Linked DNA regions of Drosophila melanogaster. The protein of the gene in region 2 interacts with the protein of the main gene of each other region in a pairwise test. Each region holds a gene or a part of one and is shown on either strand. Other genes may lie near its edges.

What was found. Proteins that work in one complex are often made in the same cells at the same time.
Region 1: the proteins of CG11672 (region 2) and Nse4 interact in a two-hybrid assay, tested with the Drosophila melanogaster proteins (one large-scale study listed by BioGRID).
Region 3: the proteins of CG11672 (region 2) and Scgalpha interact in a two-hybrid assay, tested with the Drosophila melanogaster proteins (one large-scale study listed by BioGRID).

What each region holds. Positions count from the first base shown.
Region 1 is NT_033779.5:10,437,065-10,442,010, reverse strand, and holds Nse4 (Non-SMC element 4), read right to left. Parts: upstream 2,572-4,946; 5' UTR 2,483-2,571; coding exon 2,392-2,482; intron 2,341-2,391; coding exon 2,123-2,340; intron 2,067-2,122; coding exon 1,899-2,066; intron 1,836-1,898; coding exon 1,506-1,835; intron 1,451-1,505; coding exon 1,385-1,450; 3' UTR 964-1,384; downstream 1-963. Other genes in the region: STUB1 (STIP1 homology and U-box containing protein 1), read right to left, coding at 2,887-3,129, 3,199-3,255, 3,315-3,420, 3,569-3,710, 3,772-3,970, 4,050-4,172; holn1 (hole-in-one), read right to left, coding at 4,842-4,946.
Region 2 is NT_033777.3:8,288,330-8,292,550, forward strand, and holds CG11672 (uncharacterized protein), read right to left. Parts: upstream 2,250-4,221; 5' UTR 2,220-2,249; coding exon 2,169-2,219; intron 2,107-2,168; coding exon 1,435-2,106; 3' UTR 1,066-1,434; downstream 1-1,065. Other genes in the region: nazo, read left to right, coding at 1-189; CG31464 (uncharacterized protein), read left to right, coding at 2,923-2,970, 3,025-3,675; CG31463 (uncharacterized protein), read left to right, coding at 4,037-4,221.
Region 3 is NT_033779.5:8,301,262-8,306,339, reverse strand, and holds Scgalpha (sarcoglycan alpha), read right to left. Parts: upstream 2,912-5,078; 5' UTR 2,800-2,911; coding exon 2,240-2,799; intron 2,168-2,239; coding exon 1,763-2,167; intron 1,679-1,762; coding exon 1,568-1,678; intron 1,497-1,567; coding exon 1,353-1,496; intron 1,289-1,352; coding exon 1,177-1,288; coding exon of another isoform or gene 1,147-1,176; 3' UTR 964-1,146; downstream 1-963. Other genes in the region: CG7840 (uncharacterized protein), read right to left, coding at 1-655; wol (wollknaeuel), read left to right, coding at 3,517-3,582, 3,642-3,816, 4,008-4,404, 4,461-4,803.

The DNA of each region.
Region 1 (4,946 bases), on a different chromosome or scaffold from region 2:
TTATGTAGCTTTCAGCGGAATATCAATGCGAGAACAAATGTACATTCGAACCTTACGCAAACGCTTAATGCGAAAGTGATCCAAGGAAATTTATGGAGTCCAAATTGGTTATAATTTAGCAGAACTGAATCCGGACTTAAGCTTCCCACACAGAAACTAAGAGAAGAAGGCTCCCAAAATGGCAAGAACTTAAAAAGTTTGCTTGCAAAATAAGAAAACTTTGAAATAGATAAAATTTAAAGCTAAATTGTTTTTTTGAAATAAAAACATATTGCAGCATATGCATAAAAACAATACATTTTTTCAATAATTTTCCAGTTAAAAAAAAACTATTTTCTCTTTGCTCAAACTCATAGTAGCATAATGCATTTACTAAGTTTTTCATAGAAGTAGAATTCTTCAATGGAATTTACTAAGACAAACCCAACTTGGCAACTTATTGAAACTGCGCTTGTGCATCATTAATTTTGTATTTTGAAGATTGGGTGGCTATTAATTGGGTCGTTTGTTGCTATGCTGATATGGAGCAATAAATCTTCATTTTGGTTTTATATATAATTACACATTAGCTTAGTTTCCTGCACTTGGGTCAACTCTCTTCGCCCACATGAAGTTGAAAGCCCCAAAATCTCAGACAATAGTGCATCGAGTAACTTGATCTACTACATCCAGTTTGAATAGAAGCACTGATCTCTTAGAAAAGGCTATACTCCATAGAAAGCCTTTTAAACTCCGTCGACCGCAAAGATGCAATTAACCCTAAGCTTCATTGTGCAATAAATCTTAATTAATCTTAATTTCTCTTTGTGGAATTAAGTTAACGGAATTCAATTAAAAGCCGCTGTGCAACGGAAAGTGCACTAATTTCGAGCACAGGAGTGATTTTTTAATTAATGGACCAATCATTCATTCATTCATTATTCCACTCTGCAAAGTAATTTATTTGTTTAATTCTTGGTATGCCACCCATTGAGACCAGGAAAAACGGATTAAGAACATAATCCGAAACTGGTTAAAGTTATAAGTAAACAACTTAACTAATATTTAGTTCCTAAATATAACATACATACATTTTATATTGCTATAACTTCACAAGTGCCCCTTCTACATATTTCACAATTTGTAGGCGGTCATAAAAATTGACATAATGGCAGGGGCGGATTCGTAGTAAAATATTGGGGGAAGTGTTTGAACTATGAAGTAACTGCTTGAGTAATAAAATTCATTTAATGATTTTGTGTTGATATTACGTTAATTACTTAATGTTTGGGGGAAAGAACACTTTCAATTACCCGATTATTTATGCCGTACATGAGTAACTTTAAACGTTCTATGTGTTTTATTAATAACAATATAAACTATTAATATGAACTAAGTGATATATCTATTTCTCACTAACCGGAAGTCTTTTTAACATTGGCTCATGTAGGTTGTAGTGCTTTACCATTTTCTGTAATTTAAATCATATCAATTATAATGCTTTAAACAATAATTGAAATACGAACCTCACAAAAGGTAACATCGATGGAACAAATAGCCTGGGACGGTGCGTTTCCTTCGACCGATTTGGAATTCACAACGCGAACCAATGGCAAACCATCCTCGCCATTTTCGATGGAAATATAGTTCTCCTTGACAAGAAACGACAGTTGCAAAGCGTTCTGAACGGTGTCCATAAAATTGTTTGGATTGCAAATCAGTTTAAAGTACGGAATCGGCTCTTGATTGCCATCTCGATATATTTGTCTTATTTGCTTCAGCATGTGGGTTACGGACGCTGCTCCTTCGTCCTTGCGTTCCAATTGGTCACTCTTTTCTGGACGCTTCTCATCTACCTACAAGATCCATAATAATATGAACAAATATTACTGTGAGAAATTGTTTAACAAATGACTTACTTGAGATTTCGTTTTGCGAGGAGCACGTTGCTTTTGAACCACCACCTTTGGAGTAACATCTATGAAGGGCAGCATGCTATCATTGGTGAAGAGTGGTCTTCCGAACTGAATAGCCAATGAACAAAGAGCATCCCAATCTTCTTCGCTCTCTTTGAAAACCAAATCGTTCTGTAATAGGATCAAACATTACGATCAGGCATAAATAAAGTACACAGTGCACCTACGATCGCCGTGGCCACCATTCGATCCGTGACGTTGGTGTTATGTTGGATAGCTTTTCCCACAACTTCGAAATTGCGACGCAGTAGCTCCGTGTCCAGGACAAGTTCCGTGGAGTTTGTACGGCGGTCTTCATGTCCCTTGCTGATATCGTTGGCTGTCTGAATGATTTCCTCTATGGCCGTGATAGACTCTCCGATGGTGTTGTTTTCGATTTGTTGCTCTGCAATTCATATAGTTATTTCAGATATTAGTAATTTATGATTTAACTTACCTATCTCAATATTCTTTTCGATCAGATTTTGCAGACGCAGTATGCGAGCATCTTGGTCATCCATTTGCGATTGGCTTTCAGACGAATCCATATTATTGTTAAATAAATACTAAACAAAGAAGAGCGAAGTTAATCCAATTGTGAATTCACATAAACAAATTTCTTTGAAAATGATTTCTGCAAATCTGTAAGCAGCTGTATATCGATAATTTGTTTGGTCAAGATATCACCAACTTTTTGACTAACTGGAACGGGTGATCGAAACTATATTGTTTTCACACTACCGCTAACTCTCTATCGATATCGTGCAAAAGCTTTTTTATTTATATTTTGAACATTATGCTGTTTAATTTATTAATAATTACAATTTATCCATTTACAATATAAATCTCAATTGCAGATCCACATTTATTATCACTTATCTGGTTTTTAGACAATGGGAACTGGGTTCTAACATCTAATCAATTACAATGACAATGCCAACTAATAAGTAACTTAATAATCTAAAGACCATTCATTCTCGGCAATAAAAGAGTCAACCACTTCCTTCATTGAAAAATTTGGTATTAGTTGATCCTGAGTGAGCTTAACGCGTGTCACAGGATCGAAATGTCCAACCCGCTGCAAGTGTTCTTCTATATCTTTTCGTTCATACGTAATTCCAGATGGAGTTATCACAGGGTCTGTTAATATTTCAAAACTTATTTTGCCACATAGAAAATCGGGAACTTCACGTTTCTGTAATATGTAAATAACAATATTAGAACAATATTTTTAATATTGGTTATTTTTCCTTTAGTTTCTTACCTTTCGACGTTCGTCAACCTTAGAAAATATATTGTTAAGTTCCTTAATATGGTCATCCTAAAAAGTAAAATTAGATTGTCAACTCCGCTAAATATTCTGGTTAAAGTCCAACTTACGCATTCTTGCTCAATTTCCTGTTGCTTGTCTTTCAGCTGCTCATCGTGTACATTTCCATTCAGCTTTAAATTGGCCAAACGGCTTTCCATGTCCCCTTTTATTAGACTGAAACATAAATATTTAGGTTTTGCACAAATTTCGCTTTTTTTAATATATATTCTATCACATGAGGACAACAATTGCCTCGATATCGTCGTGCGGTGACTAAATTTAGTTTGCAAAAGGCATCTAGAGAATTCGAATAACATCTTACCCATTTAAATAGCTTTGCAGCTCGATTTCCTGCTGTATTCGCTTCTCCTCCATAACATTCCAGCGCTTTTTGCGAGCTAGTCGCAACTGTAGTGTAATATCATCCCCAAAGTTTTGCTTCTGCTCCTTGGACAGATCGTATGCTATAAGTTTCATATATGGTTAGTTAGTGTAGAGAACATCAAAGGTCAGGTATTATCTAACCCCGTTGAAGGTGCTTTATAGCCTCGTCAAAGTTGTCGATTTCCATGAGTCCTTGGCCCAGGAAGAAGTGACCCTTCAACAGATTCCCATCGATGTCGAGGGCGCGCCGACTATCCTGGCAGCACAGTTCCCATCTCTTCAGTTTCAGGTTGCAGAGGGCTCGGTTTGTGAAGTATGTGGCGTTTGTGGGGTTCTTTATCTACATATTATATGGAGCATAGTGCACATGTAAACAACAAAATACACATCACAATAACAAAAATATGTGAGACACCTACGATGGCCTTTGAGTAGCAATTTATTGCGTCGTCATATTTTCGGGCTGCAAACAAGCAGTTTCCCTGCTCCTTTAATTGCAGATCTGATAAATTGGTCGTGGAATAGATGTGCTTGGTCGTCATCCTGACGAATCTTCTGCGCCTGGTCCCAAATTTGATTTTCCACCGATGAAAAGTGAGTGTGTGTCCAACAACACCGAAGCACTCGTAAATTTGTTTCCTCTGCAAGAATTGGGGAACTGCTGCACGAACTTAACAGTTAACAAAGTATTAAGTGGGAAACGGTAGTGACTTTTGAACGCTCATAACACCAAAAAGATCTTGAGCTATTCGCCTGTATTTAATTAAACATAAAACAATTTTCAGCTACGTTAATCGATGTGTTTCTAGAGTTGCCAAGACTCACAAGCTTAAATTAAAGCTGCACATTCATCGATTGCACTATCACCGCCCAAACGATACTTTTGCCACACTATCGTTTGCACATTTCAAAAACAACAGTGCCATTTTCGAGTTTCTCGACTATCAGATATCTCTTACTGAACTAGTGGGTCTAATAGAAGAATCTTTCGCTATTCGTCACTAGCGCAAGTAACTCGGATACATAATTTGGTATATCTGACCAAATTTAAGAGCCGACAGAATCAATATGAATATGAATTTTATTTTAAGTCCAAACCAAGTGCAAACTAATTGAAACCTCTTGTAAAGTATACAGTATACAATTATAGAACAAAGTATTTGCAGAAAACATGTTAAAACCCAAAGAATTTAACATTTGTTAACTAAGGCCTACAAGTACAAATCGAAATCTATGCGGTTGCTTGTATAGAAATTTGTGTTTTCGCCGCACTTTCGCACATAGACTCCGTTTTTAAAGTAGTTCTCCTGGGACCA
Region 2 (4,221 bases):
AACGATTTGACGGAGAGTCAGCGTCGAGAACTGGAGCAGCACGTGATCAGGGCCATATCCGAAGTTAGAAATGTACGCGTTCGAGATGTCGCAAGACTAATACTAAATAACCGGCATGTGCAAGAGGTTGCACTCGAAGCAGTCAAGTCCTATATCACTGATCGTATGGGAATGACCATCGTTGATTAGGCATTAATAGAAATATTTTTTAAACTATATTTCTCGATGATTAATGCTATAACACAGAATTTTGCCTGCAACATAAATAAATTGTTGGCGCACTGAATGATTTTATTTTAAAATCTATAGTAAAAACCATTTCAGCTTATAATTTAATAGTCAGTGACTAGCCTTTTCGATGTGCCAGATGTAAAAAGATTGTTTTGCTCAGAGCTCGGCTTTCAATAGACAAGAGTCGCGCGATCTACGTCATCAAAATCCGTCAGATGTCTGGAGGAGCTGAACAGATGTTGGAGTAGGCGGAATTTGTGCAGCTACACTACCAAGGCGATCATCAGCAGGGCAACAACTGTTACAAGCAGTAAAAATAAGATAAAATTCAGAGACTCTTAGTGAAATTGCGGCAAGAGCCGAAATAAAGAGTCGTAGAAATTTCGTTGCTGCACTGTGAACGACGAGAGAGATGTGTGATGCGATGCTTTGGTGTATCTCACGGATGCACAGATACTCGCTTCGGATATTCGCTCAGTGTGCGGTAGGCAGGTCAAAATAATTTTGCTTACTGCGGAAGCGAGAGGAAGAGGAAAAAAACTGGCTGATCTCGATCTCGATCTCCGTCTCTATCTCTTTCTAGGGCCAGCTGTCGCCCATTTGGATCGGATCCGTATGCTACTATATCTTATATCGTGTGGCTGCCACGTGTCGTGGGCAAGTCCATTGGGCAATTGGTCAGTTTAGCCGAACAATGGCCAATTAGTATGCATGCGACTTTGAAAAGTGAACTTGCGATTAGCCACAAAGTTGCCCAATATACATATGTACATATGTATATATATGCAATTACAGAGCAACCTCTCTAAGTCGAATCAAACTGAAATGAGATCTTGATACTAAGTAGTAATTTACTTCACTATTTATTGATCATTTTAAAATGTGTAAATTCCTTGGTTTAACACACGCCTCTTAGCGTTTTATAAGAACATAGTGATTTGAAATTGATTTTATTTCAATTCCAAGCCAGACTTTAAAAAGGCTTCACTGTGCCTGCAAATATGCTGATAGCTGTACCAGATCGACTGCAGCAGCTGTAAAATCAATCAAAAACTTGTCAAATAAATGTCATGCATAAGCAATAAGTGAACAGGATGTGGCGAGTCCTCGGCCCCTGTCATCTTGCGGGTGCATAAATTTGCCATTGGCTGTTTTTGCCTGGGTTCTCTCTTAGGACTATTGCTTACGGGAAGGGTCGGTCCACTATGATTGCCGGCACTGATCCTGCTCCTCGCGCAGATAGTCGCCGATGTGCTGCACCACCATGGCACTGCACAGCTGAGCCTGCACCACTTGATCCTCGGCGGTCTGGTGGGTCTGCACCAGGATTAGGGATGCATTGTGCATGGATTGGGCCATCCCCAGATTGATTTCCGCCATCGCGTTAATGAAACAGACACTTCCGCCAGCTGAAGCTAGAGGATTAAGCGGGGAAGCCCCCAGCAATTGGCACTTGGCCGGCAAGTGGGCAATCTGCTGTACGAATTCCTGTACTCTGGCCAAAGCCAGTTGACTCTCCAGACGGAAGTCTTCCAAAAGGCTTCCCAAGTCTTCCGTACACCCACCCAGCTGATGGGTCACATTTTCATTGAGCTCATCCAGGCTCCAGGCTGGGTTGCAATCGGGATTGGACACCACTAACTGGTTTGTCTCATAGATCACATCACTTAGTTCGGCCATAGCATTGGCGGTCAGGACCTCAATGTTACCGGCAATATTTTGCCGAGTGCGATTTATTTTCTCCTCCAACTGAATGGAGGTGTCGTCGCTGACACTTACGGCAATCTCTGCCAGATTGTCCACAACCATGGTAACAGGTCCATAGTTTGTAGTCTCTGTCTCCATCTTTGTTTCATAGCCGACTTCTTGGCAGTCCTGAAATAAAGGAGCATATGAATTTGAAAAGTACTATAAATGGAAAGTTACTATTAACTCACTGCCAAAGTCAGCAAAAGCAGAGCAAGTACTCCCAGAGTTTGACTCATCATCTTTCTGTTATATTTCCTAGTGCGACTGGCCCTACACTTGACTTCTTATATATGTCAAGAGATCCAGTGTCACGATAAGAGTGTGTCTCATAGCAATCACTACGAAACACAATTTGAGCATTAACTTGATGAACTGAGATGATGTTTTAGTACATGAACTTGGTATACTATTCAAAGTATTCTATTTGGTCATCGTATTTTTCGTAAATTTTCGTAATTTCTTTTTGTAAATTTCTCACCTTCGTTGAATAATGGAGGGATCAATTATACTTTTATTTGTAAAAGGGGAGATATTTACAGTTCAAGTTTGCTAAAGAAAGCTGAGGTTGATGACTAACTTGAAGCATATAGTCGTTACACAGTCATCATGCGATAAGAATCTTTCTTATAAACATTATAAGACACAAATGAGCCATTTGTCTAATTCAGAACTTAATTTAAGTTTTGTTCGGAACTTAAATACCCTAAAGTTTCATATTGATCACATATGACATGGGTATTTTTAGCAACTTACGCTGTTAAATTTTTCGGTATCCCAATATTTTCTTTATAAACAATAACAATTTTTGTTAAAGCGTTAAAACTCTTTCCCAAAAAAGAATTTAATTCTTAGTCTTAGTTAATTAAGGCAACCTTTGGCGATCTATAAATAAAAGGTATGGTATCTTCAATTTTTCGGGAATCAATTCGATTTAGTTTCAAGATGACAACAGTACGGGTGTCACTGCTTTTACTTCAGTCGCTTCTTTGTGTATGAAATAGCATTATTTGTGTAAAGTATAATATTAAAGAAAAGATCTTACAGGTGCATGGCCACTTTCAAAGAATTTGGGGACAAAATGGACCACTCTATGAGTCCACAAAGCAGCTTATAGCCAGCCAAAGCTCCAGTGCAGCCAGGATCTGGAACGTCACCCAACAGGCCCTCGATCAGAAGTTGGAGTATCTTCAAGAAGCCAAGGACACACTGGATGACCATCAGCAAGTGGTTAGTGGACGCTTGGAGATGTTTTTTGGAAGCCAGTACAGCGATGAGTGGCGGGCATGCTCAAAGAAGTACGAACTCCAGGTGGCACACTTCAATCGAGAGCTGGTGGACAAGTACAGTATCTGCAGGAATTCTCTGGACCACATCATGGATCATTTTCAGGAGGAAATCGTGCTGGAGGCTAATTTTCTGAGTAAGGCTTCGCGGGAGATCAGTGAGTTGTCAAACACCTGCAGAATCTGGCAGCTTAAGCAGTCTGGTTTCAATCACGCCGGAGTTTTATTATGCACTGTCGCTGGAATCGGGAGGATCAATCAGCGGATGATCAGCAGTCTGGAGCTGTGCGATGCAATTGTGCTGGAGATGTCCTTGGAAGACCTGGACACACCAAGTTGCCTCTTCTACCATCATCTGAAGATGGATTTCGATGACCTCTTTACGCAGATTGAGTCGTGTGCGATAAACTAGAAAGAATGTAATAAAGTCAAATGCACTATTAACTGTGGTCTGGTGTCGACTTGAAAATATTAATTACTTACATCAACTTTTACCTAATATTTATGAGCATAGTTATCTTTAATCGTTATCAGTTCGACCATTCATAAAAAGCCAAATAGAAATTTAAATTTTCTCTCGAAAAACATTGCCCCGTGGTGGTTTATATATAGCGTAATATTGGCGATAAGCCGGATAAGCCTAATCAACCTGCGCCACTTAAGAAAAACCAAGTGTGGTATCTTCGATAGTGTTTTACGAGCCATACTTCTTCCGATAATGAAGCTGGTCAAAATCCCTCCCTCAGTTGTACTGAAACAGTTGCCCGGGCAAAATGATTGGAAAAGCATTGCTTCTGCTGGGCTGTGTGCTGCTCTTCGCTTTTGGTGAAGCCAACCAGGAACTGGAGACTCTGCTGCAGAAGCAACAGGTGGACTTGCAGTTGTCTGGCGAGGAAGTGGCTGCTTTGCGTCCACTGTACCTAGAGTTTCAGGCGCAGTACAACTATCTGTACAGCCT
Region 3 (5,078 bases), on a different chromosome or scaffold from region 2:
AGAAGACGCCGAGGTAGAGTATTTGCTGGCTTGTCAGCTTGTCGAGGCTGAACTCCATGGGCTTGGAGCCGCGCACAAAGCCGGAGGTATTGGATAGTAAAGCTATAACGGCTCCAAAGTAGTGCACATAGCCCACGGCATAGTGCGACAGATTGATTTTGCTCTTCTTGGAGAAGATTTGCACAAAATTGGTCTCGTAAAAACGCCGGGTGCACTGCAACGTGAGCATAAATGCGCCCACACAGGCAGTCGTTGAGTCGATCTCCACCTTCCGGTGACTACGTCCGCCGCCCATGATGTCCAGGAATTGGAGTACATATTCGGGCGCCTCCTTTTGCTCCCGAACGGTTGAAACGAGCACATAAAATGCCAGCCAGCTCCAGAACAGGGCAAATGTGTAGAAGTGCTTGAACCAGGACTTCGGAACCTCCAGCCAGGCCACCAAAGGATCCGTTTCACCCTTGAAACTGTGCTTGCCATACCGAAAGGACTGGCGTATGCTATTGGGCAGGTACTTCTCCACGAAAGTCATCAGTCCGCCAAAGAACACGATCGTGGCGATGAAGGTGCCGAACATCATTTGCAGCAGGTTGATTTTGTACCGGTCAAGTAGATTTTCGAGGACCTCAAGGATCCCATTTTCGGGTGGCGCCATTGCGAAATGATTCGGCACTATGCAGCCCGCAAAAACTGTAAAAACTTTCTCCGAAAAACGAAAACTTGCGGAACATTCATTCTAGAGCTGGAAATAAGAACGATTTTACAACCGATACATCGATACGTTGGCTCAAACTGAAATATCGATTTTATGCATAAAAACTGGTTTCAATTGAATTTAAAATTAGGCGCGTAAAGAATTTAGTACTTCCTTTTTATAAAAGAAAAGTGTTTGAATTCGACTTTAGCAGAGATGAGTAGGTCATAAAATAGTTAAAACGAAAGACTTCTAAAATATTATGCTTTATTTGATTGCCTTTATTCTTAAATGGCAAACTAATTGGCTAGTTTCATGCTTGCATATCTATATAAAATGATAATTACGATATGGTTTGTCTAGTTCGGCAGGTGTGAGTATTTATGCAATTGATATAACGCTCCTCCTCGATATTGCTTATTGAAATTGTATGCGCTCGAATCCAACACTCCTCAGCAGTAGAGCACTCGGGGAGATGTTTGTCAAATGTCCACTCCATTTCGACCCAAAGTACCGCCCTTATATGGCGGTGGCTTGGGACGAGCATAAATGCTGGAGTTTCCGCAGTCCAACTGGTAAAAGCTGTTGTTGGGACTACAATAGATAAATAGATATTTGAATATGAGAGTTCTGAATATGAATAGCTAGACAGCTCCACCTCTGAGATCTCATGCTAGTGTTGTCCAGTAGAAAATTGGGATCCTTGAGGCTTTTCAATGTTGTTATGGGCTGATTGGATTTGCTATCCGAACACTGAACCATCTGCACAGTGGATGCCATGGGATAATCCGAATTGGAAGAGCTGTAAGCGATACCAATCATATACAATCACTGCTTTCAATGAGCAAATAGGAAAATAAGAAGTGAAATCACCTCTCAGAACCATCATCCGCACCAGAATCGCTTGACGCGCTTTGCGGCGCACAGGACTCTTCGCAGATGTGGAAAATGTTGGCAAAGAAAAACTCAGAATGCGGATCGTAACTGAAGTAAACGAAAGATAAAAACAATTAAAGAAAATATAAAATGAAGAAATCAATTTCGTAATTTCCCAGTTGGGAAACTCACAACTTCTCGTGCTGGAAACACAAAACAGCTGATAGCATTCCGATTAAAATGGCAAAAATCATGCCCGGAATGGCAAAGGCAAAGGCGAATTCATCGATGTAATTGCGTTCGGGCACATCCTCCCTGGCGATTCCCATCCAGCGATCCTCTTGCCTCTGATTCAGATCATCGGGCATCTGCTGCTCGTTCTGCTTGCCACTGTGGAAGAGGATTTCCGTTGGTGATTCCATGCCCACCATTCGAAAGGCGCACCAGTCCAGTTTGAAGCCAACATTCTCAAAGATTTTCTGCACGGATGTGCGTTTGTAGGTGCAAGATGGCAACTTGTACAGTGGTCTCACTTCCTCCTGGAGTTCCTGCAGCCGCGGTGAGAACTGGGCAAAGCTGCCCACGTGGACAATGACTCTGCAATGAAATATGAAATGAATATAATAAGATAAGAGATTGTTATGGATAACTAAATTATAACTAGATTACCCCTCGCGCTGCTGCGGTCGCAGTGGAAGTCGTCCGCCCATATTCACAGCTGACTCCATGAAGACCACACTCAAGTCCTCCTTGCTATTTGGCCAAAGATCGTTGCGGAATATATTTCGTAGGTTCTCCCTTCTGCCGGGATCCATTAGGTGCACCCAATTCAGATTGTTTATTTTCATCTGCACGACATTGGGTGTGGGAAACTTGTGGGCGACAAACATTGTGACCACAACGCGTCGCGTTTCGTAATTCTGGCGATTAAGGGCGACCACATCCAGACTTAGATCCTTGCCAGCCGACGATGCTGGAGGAGTTCCGTAGAGGAAGCCGGCATGGTATTCATGGCTATACATATATCGCATCCAACTGGGCAAATCGGGATAATTCTTCAGCGAGGGTCTGTAGCGAAATTGCTGGCTGATCACCTGGTGTGTCCAGTTAAAGAGTTGCGGTTCGATTTTGTAGGTGAAGAGTTCTCCAACATTTGCCTGCAACTTTAGACCCTGAACTTCGTTGCAGATTAAAGCTAATACGACCACTATTAAGTTTAAAAACTTCATTTTGTATTTTATGTAGTTTTTTTTTTACGATTCACAAGCACATTTTAATTGACTATAAACAAATTGTTATTCCGCCCAGCGCAGAGGCGATGAAAAATTCCAATGGTGTGTATCTGAATGGGAGAGGACTACGTATATTCTCAGAACTTGTTGTTTTTGAATTTCAAAGAGCGCGCATGCGTGTTTCGATCCTTAAGCAGAGATATTTGTGACTAAGGTCAGTTTTTAATAGTATTTATAGGTTAGAATTGACTAAAATATATAGAGTAACTTATGTTAACATAAAAAAATCAATCAGAAAATGTGTTTTATAAAGTCTTGTACCATGAGTCCTATATCATATCGTAGTTTTTGATTTATTATTTAAAACTACATACTTAACCTATATCTACTTAATATTCGCAAGCATAAGAAAGTTTATAACCATTTTAAATTGCCTTTTGTTATATATTTTATTTTAATTCAAAATCATAGAATTCTTACTGCGATAGACCATTAATCGATATCTGCGGTGACTGTGAATGAGTCACTGTTTTGCGGAGAAGTGTCATCCCTAAATTGAGTTGACAACCCTAATCAGCTGCGGCATTTCGGTCTAAAATTCTTGGAATTAAATACGTGGCTCTGTTTATCTCGCACAAATTGGAGAAGTAATGTCTGCTGGCAGGTAGCAGGCGCACCTGTTCATACAAACTAGTTGCTAAAAAAAGCCCTACAATGTGGACCTGCCTCTGCCAGCTCTGTTTCTATCTACTCTCGACGCTTGCAGTCGCTGCGCTGTCGGTCAGATCTTGAATACATTCGCCTATCTTTCTTATTTTTACTGATAATCCATCGTTTAGATTGCGGCTCTGGTGCTCTACAAGACGAAGCCCTATCCCAACATCAAGCGGCACAAGGATGAGGAGACCTTCCTGGACCCGCACACCATTAAAACAGTGACTTTTCCCAGTCTCGAGGACTCGCCAAGTTTGGAGCTCAGTGTCATCGTACCAGCTTACAATGAGGAGCAGCGCTGTATGTTGCTTATTTGTTTTTGTTTTGGTGAATCACAGTCAACATTTTATCTATGCCCATTTGTGATTGATTGTCTGGCACCCGAATTTATCTACAGAAACTTCATTACACTAACATGTTACTTTAAGTTACTTTCCCCAAAAGCTATTCGATTTTCTTGTTCTCATTTGTGTGTGTTTATACTCGTTTAGTGCCTTCTATGCTGGACGAGTGCTTGGCCTTTCTGGAACAGAAATCTGCTGGCACTCCCAATTTCACATACGAGGTCATCGTGGTCAGTGACGGCAGTCAGGATGCCACCGTATCCGTCGCCTTGGGTTACTCGAAAAAGCACGGAGCAGAAAAGGTACGCGTGCTGGAACTCATCGAAAATCGTGGGAAAGGAGGTGCCGTTCGCATGGGTATGCTAAGTGCACGGGGTCGTAATCTGCTCTTCGCTGATGCGGATGGAGCCACCAAGTTTCCCGACTACGATAAACTGGAGGTGGCCCTCAAGCAATTAGCTCCCGAATGGCGAGACGATGGCATTGCCATTGGATCGAGAGCACATCTGGAGAACGATGCGATTGCAACAAGGAGTTTCTTCAGGTAAGATAAAATCCTACATTTATTAGCTGACCAAATACTGATCTGCGTTGCCACAGAACAATTTTGATGCACGGCTTTCATTTCCTCGTCTGGCTGTTTGCCGTGCGCTCCATTCGCGATACCCAGTGTGGCTTCAAGCTGTTCACCCGAACGACGGCCAGGAAACTCTTCACCAGTCTGCATGTGGAGCGCTGGGCCTTTGATGTTGAGCTGCTGTACCTCGCTGAGAATTTGAAGCTACCAATGTCCGAGGTTGCCGTTCGATGGACGGAGATCGATGGTTCGAAACTGACACCATTTTGGTCGTGGCTGCAAATGGGCAGGGATTTGTTCATGATCTGGGTGCGATATTTGGTGGGCGCCTGGCGGATTGCCTCCATACAGAAGAAGGAAAAGTGATGTGGACTTGGAGGGCATCTCATTCCCAATATTAACTAGCATTTTGTGTCGAACTTACTCCGCTGTCGTGCATTACCAAAACTCTTTTAACTCTAAACTCTATTTTTGTAGGCCTGATAAAGTGTAACGAATTCTAGCTAGTTAAGTACTTAAGTACAGTATTTTTTCAAATAAAAAATAATTGATTTGAATAAAATTGCGCGGCAATGGTTCTAAATTGTTAGTAATCTAAAAAAAGTAACTATACCAAGTCGTCTTCCTTTAGTATATTGCGC